3 linked regions of the Rattus norvegicus genome follow. The protein of the gene in region 1 purifies or fractionates together with the protein of each later gene. This does not show direct contact. Links are inferred from orthologs where the notes say so. Each region holds a gene or a part of one and is shown in the gene's direction. Other genes may lie near its edges. The genes, in order: Rngtt, Supt5h and Ppp4r3a.

Region 1 (3,657 bases):
CCATGCTCAGAAAAATGATCTTGAATATATTCTGAAAGAGGGTTTAGGAAAAATAAATTTGTTTTCCATGTTTCTTTCTTATAAATATTTATTTTAAAATAGTATAAGCCCCATGTGAAGGTAGACTCAGTTGGTTTCTAAAGCTCTTTCAAAATAGTGTACACCCATTAGTCAATCAGTTATCTGCAGCCGTCTTAGTGTTCTGTTGATGTGAAGAGACACCACGACCATGGCGACTCTATTACAAAGGAAAACACTCAATTGGGGCTGACTTTCAGGTTCAGTGGTTTAGTGATCATTGTCTTGTTGACAAGCATGGCAGCATGCAGGCAGACATGGTGCTGGACAGGTAGCTGAGAGTTCTACATCTGGACCCATAGGCAACAGAGAGGACTCTGGACCTGCTTGATTTTCTGAAACCTGAAAGGCCATGCTAGTGACACACTTTCTCCAACAAGGCCACACCTCTTCATCCTTTTAAATAATGCCTCTCCTGTGAGCATGTGGGGCCAGTTTCGTTCAGACTCCCACACTTAGTTGACTACAGTCAACCGTTGTCAGTCCTCAGTTGATTTTATACACATTTTCCCCCCAGTCTGGTTTAGACTTTCTTTTCCAATGTAGTTTGACTGTATTTCACATTGATCATAAAGAAAGCTTGGGAAACTACACCAATGTTTCTGGAATATCTGGAATATAGTTGTCTTGTATTTTTGTGCCCTTCCTTTCTGAGTTGTGTGTTTGAAACTCAAAATCTTGAAAAATTTTAATGACAAATTTAGACAGTAGAGAGTTTAAACTAATACACCAGTGTATTTTTAGATTTCTGTCTAGTGCTCTGTTACACTCTAAGCAATCTAAATTGACAAACTATTAAGTTATAAGGAATATTTTGAGTTTTTAAAATGTATGAATATGTAGTGTACTTAAATAAACTGAAATATTTTAAAGTAAATTTGTCATTTTAAAACTCTGTGGCATTTGAAGTGATTGAGTTTAACACGAAGCTACTTTCTCTCCTAGGTGTTCACTGCACCCATGGCTTCAACCGCACTGGTTTCCTTATATGTGCCTTTTTGGTGGAAAAAATGGATTGGAGGTATATTAAATAGTGTTGTTATAGTGGAAGAAGATACATGAACAATTTGTGATGCTTATGAATCCTGTAGATGATATATTTCCTTTTCATATTTTTCTCGTATTTTGGAGTTAACAGAGATTGGATCTCAGATGTTTGGATTTGTAATCAGCTTTGGAAAGGTCTGTTTTCCTTTAAAGTTTCTCTTCTCTGGCTGAGAAGAACTAGGGAAAGCTATAATGCTCTATGAAGGAAGCGTTTTAGGATGGCATTAATCTATTTAAACAAGTCTCGTCTTTATTGAGCTTGTTATTTGTGAATTATATTTTCAGATTTTAAAGGATTAGATTCCAATTACTTGAAATTCCTATGAGACTAGGATACTGCTAACGGAATTTTCTTATTCCTGTTCTAGGATCATTGTTTATGTTTCTAAAACCTTTTACACATTAGGTCCTTTTTTGGAATGCAGTCAGGCAAACACTAATCTGAATGTGTTCTGTTCTTTTATACTCAATGGCTGTCTACGTTGTGTACTTTTCAGCTTTGGCCTTTCAGAGTACTGTGCACAGTAGCATCAGACTCCTTTGCCAGATCCGGCCAGTGGCTAGTGTTCTTCCAAGATGTGTAATCTTGGGGCCTAGGGCTATTGGTGGTTTCTGATGAACATTGTGTATGTTCACTTGCCATTCACATTTTCTTGACCCAAGTTTTCTTTTAGAGACCTTGACCTTCAGTATTCTATTAATTTCTTTCATTGGCTAGCCATGTCTGTCATAAGCAGTCATGTCAATGTGCTTTAAATATGATAGTATATAATATATTAGAATGTACCATGTATTATAGTGACCATATATTATAGTGGGCCATGTAGACGATATATGTGTACCATATGTTACAGTGTACTATGGGTATGTGTTTTTAGAATTAGTTTATCATTGACTGAAAGCTTTGCAGGTGAAGACAGACTTATATTTGTCTGTTATATAATCCAGTTATACTTTTTGTGGTACCTTGAGTATGATTTAATAATTGATAAGTCTACATTAAATGGATACTAGTGGGAAAATAATTGTTTCCATAGCATTGAAGCAGCAGTTGCTACTTTTGCCCAAGCCAGACCACCAGGAATCTATAAGGGTGATTATTTGAAGGAACTTTTTCGTCGCTATGGAGATATAGAAGAAGCACCACCACCACCTGTATTGCCAGATTGGTGTTTTGAAGATGATGATGAAGAAGACGAGGATGAGGATGGAAAAAAGGACTCAGAACCAGGGTCCAGTGCTTCCTTTGGGAAAAGGAGAAAAGAGCGCTTAAAACTGGTAATGTTCACAAATACTGTAATACTCTTTTATTCTTTTAAATTACATTTATTTACTTATTTTGTGGGTGTGCATGTTTAAATACCTTGGTGTGGGAATGGCACAGCATGCTTGTGGAAGTCAGAGGACAACTTGTAGGAGTCAGTTCTCTTTTCTTACTATGTGTGTTTGGATCCTGAGGGTCAAAGTCAGGTTGTCAGGCAAACTATAAGTGCCCTTATCTGCTGAGCCACCATGGTGGCTCCCAAATACCATACTGCTCTGTATTTCTGTTTAAACTTATTGTAGGATATTGGCTCTGTATTAGGGTTTCAATTGCTGTGAAGAGACACTATGACCAAGGCAACTCTTATAAAGGACAACATTTACTTGGGGCTGGCCTACAGGTTCAGTGGTTCAGGCCATTATCATCATGGCAGGAAACACAGCAACCAACGTCCAGACAGGCATGGTACTGGAGAAGCAGATTTATACTTCTTCACCCAAAGGAAGCCTGGAGCAGACTGTCTTCCAGATGGCTAGGAGGAAGGTCCCAAAGCCCACCTCCACAGTGACGCACTTCCTTCAACAAAGCCACACCTAGTCCAACAAGGACACACCTCCTAATAGTGCCACTCCCTATGCCAAGCATATTCAAACTGCCACAGGCTATATTTCTGTCATGTCTGTCTGTCTGTCTGTCTGTCTCTCTCTCTCTCTATATATATATAATATATATATATTATATATATATATGTATGTGTGTGTGTGTGTGTGTGTGTGTGTGTGTGTGTGTGTGTTGAAGAACATAATAATGTCTTCTGATTTTATGAAATTTTGATTCTACCTTAAACCCACTAAGTAACAGCATAAGGCAGGTGTGGTGGGATCTCACTGTGAGACCCAGGCTGGTCTCAAATCTCCAGTCATCCTGTCAGGGCCTCTGATGCTGAGATAGGGATAGCCTGTCTCACTATGTCTCACTGTTAAACTTTAGCTAGAAATGGAACTTAAAATTTTGTCTTACAAAATTATTTATTCTTTGGGTGGAGGGGCTTTGCATATCATGGTGGGAGTGAAAGGACAACTTGTGTGACTCGTTCCTTCCAACCTCAAGTTGTCAGGCTTGGCAACACTTAACCACCTTGCAGCCCAGCAGTCTTAAAAGGGCTGGAGTTATGAAATTTCATTCTGGTTCTGTTTCTTATGTAAATCAAAGAACTCTTAGATGCTATATTGAGATTAGTTTATAAACTACTAAATATGTTTAGTGTT
Region 2 (3,657 bases), on another chromosome or scaffold:
AGCCATCTCTCCAGCCCCCAGCCAGTGCTTTTAATCTGCTCTTATGCCAGTGCTCTTATCTCCAGCCTGTGATCTTTTAAATCCACTGAATCCAGTAGTGCTGCCTTCATGAGCATAGACACCCTCCTAGTGGCCTCACCGCTGAGAAAGAATTACCCCTGCTCTCCCAGCCTGCATTAGTTGCTAGTAGCTCCTCAGCTGGTGTCACGAGCCCCTCCCCGTTGAGCAAGCTGCTATGAGTCTATGAGTTCAGTAGGCTCATTGGATCTTGAAGACAATGTTTCACAGCCCTCCTATGTAGCTGTAAGGGTTTATGCCTGCTCTTGCTCTGAGTTGAGACTTATTTGGGCACTATAGCCGGGCAGATTCTCAGGTATTCTAACCTGACAGAACTGGCCTGGCCTATATCCCTCCATGTGGCCCAGTACCTGTCCATCTTAGTCTGGGGCTGGCACCTGCTTCTTTATCCTTGTCCTGCCGGCTAGTGGTGCTCTGGTCTCAGATTCCCACCTGGGACCCTGTGTCCAGCCCAGCTATAGACAATTCAGCTCTTATTTGCCAATCAGAAGGTGACTGAGGGGGTTGGGGATTTAGCTCAGTGGTAGAGCGCTTGCCTAGGAAGCGCAAGGCCCTGGGTTCGGTCCCCAGCTCCGAAAAAAAAAAGAACCAAAAAAAAAAAAAAAAATACTAGAACCGGATATGCGTCATCGTAAGGGCAGTACCCAAGTCCAGCCTGTAACCAGACCTCCATCTGCACAGAAATCAGCATTTGAATACAAGGACAGTCTACACAGTGCACAAAAAAAAAAAAAAAAAAAAAAAAGCCCAAAAAAACAAAAGACGGCATACTAACACCCCTGTCCTCTGGCTTTTACATTCTTTCTACCACGAGCCCTGTACACTTATTCTTGCCACTTAGACCAGTTATGAGTCTGCATTAAGCACTGTCCACTGCAAAACAAAACAAAACAAAACAAAAAAAAATCTTCCTTGGGCTAGAGAGATGGCTCAGTGGTTAAGAGCATTTGGTGCTCTTCAAATGAGGGCCTGGTTCAGTTCGCTGCACCAGTTCAAAACTATCCTTAACTCTTAATTCCTGGGGATTTATCTGATGGCTTTTTCTGGTCACCAGGTATGCATGAGGTGCACAGATGACGTGTAGGTAAAACAGTTATTCACATAAAATGGAGTAGATCAAAAACAAAAAGGCGCTCCCTTGACCAAGGTCAAGAGCAGTTTTGAAGTTCTAGTTCTGCTTTATTAGTTCTTGCACTTCTTCCTCTCTTCCCACCCTTACTCCACTCCCAGCCCCCAACACTAGGTAGGAAGGAAAGGTTAGCAGGGAAAGGGGGCGTGGACCTCTTTACAGGACTTCCTGCTGATTGGGGACAGTGTTTCTTGGGGCCACTTTAATCTTTCATCTGAATATCTCCAACTTCTTGTCAAACTGCAACAACAGCCACCAGGAGCAGCAGCCTCTTGGGGCTCTGGGATTTATTCTCTCTCCAGAGACCCCAGAATTAAAGTGTGTGCAGCTGGCAAAATGATGCCCATCTTGGAGAGTGAGACAATCATAGTTAATAGCTATGGGCAAACTGAAGTGCCCTGTATCTCACACCTGAGATTAAATAAAAAACATTCATGTATTGTAACTGGGTTTTTAAAGAAGCCAAGCTTTCATTATAGTTAACAGCACTTGCTCATCCAGAGACCTGGCTCTGGTTCTCAGTGTCCAGGTCATGTGGCTTACAGCTGTCTGTAACTCTGGCTCCAGTGGACCCCATACCTGCTGAGGGCCCCTGCACACAGCTGGCACTTACTTACATAGGCTGAGCACATGCACATGTGCAAATACATATAATAAGCAGAATTAGAATAAAAACAACATAGAGAGATACTGGGTGAATAGGTTATAGCACTGTGAAGAAGGAAGGAGCCTTGAGCTGGTGAGTTAAAGGCTGATCCTTGAGCATCAGAATTTGTGGATCTGTTTGTAACTAGTAAGAAACAAGGATTAGAATCCAGGGGAGTATAGGCCTGGCAGACCCAGAGGCTGTGGCATGTGGGGTAGGCTCTGTTTCTGGAAAATAGTGGAGAATAGAAGCATCAGCAGCAGAGACGGGAGTTGAGGTCTTGGATGGTAATGGCTCAATGAGAGAGGCGTGGGAGGATGGAGCAACATGGCCCTAGGGAGAGACATGGAAGGTCTGTCTGAAGCTGCTTTTAAGGGATGAATGGAAACTGTGAATGTGGTTTACACCTATACTCTAGTGCTTGGGAAACAGACAGGAGGATGCCATACACACATTCATGGGCCAACCTAGGCTACATAGTGAGTTCCAAGGGGGTCTGCATTACTGAATGACACCTCCACCACATGCTCTTGTGCTCACTCTCGCGTTCTCGCTCTCGATCCCCCCCCCCCCCCCAAGTGGAGTGATTGGAGCCTAGGGGAAGTAGCAGCTATGTTGACCCTTAGTGTTAGGAAATGTAAGGGGGGGGGGGTTGGGGATTTAGCTCAGTGGTAGAGTGCTTGCAAGTGCAAGGCCCTGGGTTCGGTCCCCAGCTCCGGAAAAAAAAAAAAAAAGGAAATGTAAGGGGTTAGCACCAGGGACATCCATTGTTGAGTATCAGACACCTGGAACAGATCCCAGAGTTAGGAGCTGGACTTTTCAGGAAGCACAGAGAAGAGCAACAAGCCATAAATACCTGGTATGCAATGGCTCTCAGAGTAAGGGATCCAGTGAAAGGATTGGCTCCCAGGGGTTGGTTGAGTGGCTGGGTCTTGGTTCTACTGTCACTTGAATTAGGACAGATCAGAGGCCTGGTCAGGTCGGGACTTTGAGGGCATTGTGGACATGCGTGTGAGACACAGAGACAGAGATAGATGAGGTTTTTTTCTGGGTTTGGGGATAGTAAAATCCTGGTGCCTCAACTCTGATCCTGTAGGTAGAGGAAGACCGGCGAAGTGCCGCAGGCAGTGAAAAAGAAGAGGAGCCCGAGGAAGAGGAGGAGGAGGAAGAGGAGGAATACGATGAGGAGGAGGAGGAGGAGGATGATGACCGGCCTCCCAAGAAACCACGCCATGGGGGCTTCATTTTAGATGAGGCTGGTATGTCACAGAGCCAGGAAGCTTAAAGAGTGCATAAGACAGTCTGTGGTTCAGGGGTGTGTATGTGTGCGCGCGCGCGTGCATACATGTGTACACATGTACATTCACATGAAGATGTGGGGATTACCTGGCAATGGTGGCCCACACCTTTAATCTCCACATTCGGGAGTTGGAGGAGGCATGTTGAGAAAAAAGAAAGGAAGTGTGGGGATTGACTGTGCCGACTAATGACTTGTGGAGCCACATCCCCCACACCTAGGCACATGTTATTCCATTGAGCCATCCTCTAGCCCTCTTTTACTTTTTATTCTGAGACAAGGTCTGGCTAGTTTGCTTAGGCTGGCCTTGGACTTGCAGTTTTCTTTTCTTTTTTAAAGATTTTATTTATTTTATATAAGTGAGTACCCTGTCACTCTCTTCAGACACATCAGAAAACGGAATCAGATTGTGTTGCAGATGGTTGTGAGCCACCATGTGGTTGCTGGGAATTGAACTCAGGACTCAGGACCTCTGGAAGAGCAATCAGTGCTCTTAACCGCTGAGCC
Region 3 (2,448 bases), on another chromosome or scaffold:
TTTTTTTTTTTTTTCTTCAACATTTTTTATTTTTTGTGTCTGTGTTCACATACAAGTACACTGTGTTGGTGCTGTAGCCTCAGGACTGAGAGCAGGAACGGGTTGTCTCCTTCTGCCGTGTGGTTCTGGGCTCAAGCTCAGGTTTGTCATACTTGGCAGGACGAGCCTTTACTCTTATTTTTTTTTTTTTTTCTGGGGCTGGGGACCGAACCCAGGACCTTGCGCTTCCTAGGTAAACGCTCTACCACTGAGCCAAATCCCCAACCCCGCGCCTTTACTCTTTACACCGTGAGCCAAATCCCCAACCCTGCGCCTTTACTCTTTACACCGTCTTGCTGATGCCCATGCTGGTTTTGTTTCTGAAAGTATAGATAAATTATAGTAAGATCTTCAGACACCAACATAAACTGATAATAGTAGTAAGGCTCCATATTTAATATTATCTTACGTATAGATTATTTAAAATACCACATACCTTCTTAAATAACTAGATTCATATTTGCAGTTTGGGTTGGTTTTCCCAAGGGAGATGGGGAGGGAGGGAAGAGAGAGGAGAGAGATCTGCAAGTATGTCTTATGTCTGTGCACCAGGGGCATGCCTGACAACCACAGAGAACAGAAGAGTGTGCTGGATTCCCTGGAACTAGAGATACAAATAATTGTGAACTGCTGTTGGGTGCTAGGAGTTGAATCCAGGTCCTAACTACTGTGCCATCTCTAGCCTCTGTAGTATGGTTCAAAAATCTGTACATTCTGAGGTTGGGGATTTGGCACAAGGCCCTGGGTTCGGTCCCCAGCTCGGGGGGGGGGGGGGGGGGAATCCGTACATTGATCTAGAACAGTTACCATTTTGGAAATAGGGAGTTTGATTCTAGTAGTTTATATTACATTTGATAGGGTCCGTCTTTTAATTATGTATTTGTTTGAGTGTGGTTTGGCATTTGCTTATAGTGGTGCCAGTGATCAGGCCCAGGATATTGTTTAAGCAGTACCTCAGCCCTTACAGTCTTCCATTTTCTCATAGCATGCGGTCCATCTTGAGGAATCATCGATACCGACGAGATGCCAGGACACTAGAAGATGAAGAAGAGATGTGGTTCAACACAGATGAAGATGACATGGAAGACGGAGAAGCTGTGGTGTCTCCATCTGACAAAACCAAGAATGATGACGATATTATGGATCCAATAAGTAAATTTATGGAAAGGAAGAAATGTATGTTGAAACAAAGGGCAAGGGAAACTGAGGCTCTCAGCCCTGGTCCTTCATTTCTTGAGAAAATGATTAGTGGCTACTGTGAATATATGATAAGTCAAAGGCTCACAGGGTGCGGCTGAATTGCTGACTGTGTCGAGGTGTCGGCTGAGTTTCCTAATGTAAGGAAGATGGTGTGGAGGTTATGGATACTAAGTGTAATACTGAAGATCATACTTCTGCATTGTGATACTTGCTAGATAATGTGTTGTTACTTGGATAGGCTTTGTTCATAGGTTGGGCTTCATGCAGGGTTGTCCTCAGCAAAGAAAGAAGCTGGTACCAGTGTCTTGGTGTCACTTCATTTGGAGGAATTAAGGAAAAGAAGTGAGTGACAGGTATTCTACATTCTCGTTTTTAGTGAAAGAGAGTGAAGAAAAGGAGGTGCTTCTGAAAACTAATCTTTCTGGACGACAGAGCCCGAGTTTCAAACTTTCCTTGTCCAGTGGGACAAAGACTAACCTCACCAGCCAGTCATCCGCCACAAGCCTGCCTGGTTCTCCAGGATCACCTGGGTCCCCAGGCTCTCCTGGCTCTCCTGGATCCGTCCCTAAGAGTACATCTCAGCCGGCAGCTATTACCACAAAGGTACACACATACTTGGGAGTCCGCACATGCTGCCTTTCCTACCATGCTTTACGCTTGCTCAGCAGTCTTTATGCCTGGATTCTCTCTTTGGTTTTCTTTTCTGGAATTAGCTAAATGTTGTGAACTGGAAGGTGAGACCTCATCACAACCACTCCCTAAACTTATGTGTCCAGTGCAAATCAATAGTCTGCCTTTGGTATTTTTTTAATTCATAAACTACAGGTTCTTCTTTACCTTTCCCAGTTAGAACCCAGGTGAAAATTTGGGAGGGGGAGCAGTTGTTTCTGTTTATATGTGTGAACACATCAAAGCACGTGTGGAGGAGGTCAGTTCTCCTTCTGTCGTGTGTGTCTCTAAGATCAAGCTTAGGTCATTAGGCTTGATAGAAAGTACTGTGCTATCTTGCTTGCCCCACAGTCTGATTTCATCTGACACAGGTAGGAGATCCCTCAGAAGTAAGGCTGAGTCTAACATTGTTGAGGTAAAGGCATAGGCAGAGTGATAGGAATTTTCATAGTCATTCAAGTTGTACTGTCTTTTGAGAAGCAGGGCTGAAAGGGAAATCCAAAAGAAATAATGATAGAGAAACAGTAGAATCTCTTTCCT

The links.
Region 2: the proteins of Rngtt (region 1) and Supt5h purify together in Homo sapiens (affinity purification with mass spectrometry; 3 studies listed by BioGRID and IntAct, with this or other methods). This does not show direct contact. The link is inferred for Rattus norvegicus from reciprocal best matches to the Homo sapiens genes RNGTT and SUPT5H.
Region 3: the proteins of Rngtt (region 1) and Ppp4r3a purify together in Homo sapiens (affinity purification with mass spectrometry; 3 studies listed by BioGRID and IntAct, with this or other methods). This does not show direct contact. The link is inferred for Rattus norvegicus from reciprocal best matches to the Homo sapiens genes RNGTT and PPP4R3A.

The regions. Positions count from the first base shown.
Region 1 is NC_086023.1:52,523,823-52,527,479, forward strand, and holds part of Rngtt (mRNA-capping enzyme), read left to right. Parts: intron 1-1,023; coding exon 1,024-1,099; intron 1,100-2,162; coding exon 2,163-2,403; intron 2,404-3,657.
Region 2 is NC_086019.1:92,734,297-92,737,953, reverse strand, and holds part of Supt5h (transcription elongation factor SPT5), read left to right. Parts: intron 1-2,949; coding exon 2,950-3,112; intron 3,113-3,657. UniProt on the Homo sapiens protein: Component of the DRB sensitivity-inducing factor complex (DSIF complex), which regulates mRNA processing and transcription elongation by RNA polymerase II.
Region 3 is NC_086024.1:126,033,766-126,036,213, reverse strand, and holds part of Ppp4r3a (serine/threonine-protein phosphatase 4 regulatory subunit 3A), read left to right. Parts: intron 1-1,024; coding exon 1,025-1,215; intron 1,216-1,615; coding exon 1,616-1,842; intron 1,843-2,448. UniProt on the Homo sapiens protein: Regulatory subunit of serine/threonine-protein phosphatase 4. May regulate the activity of PPP4C at centrosomal microtubule organizing centers.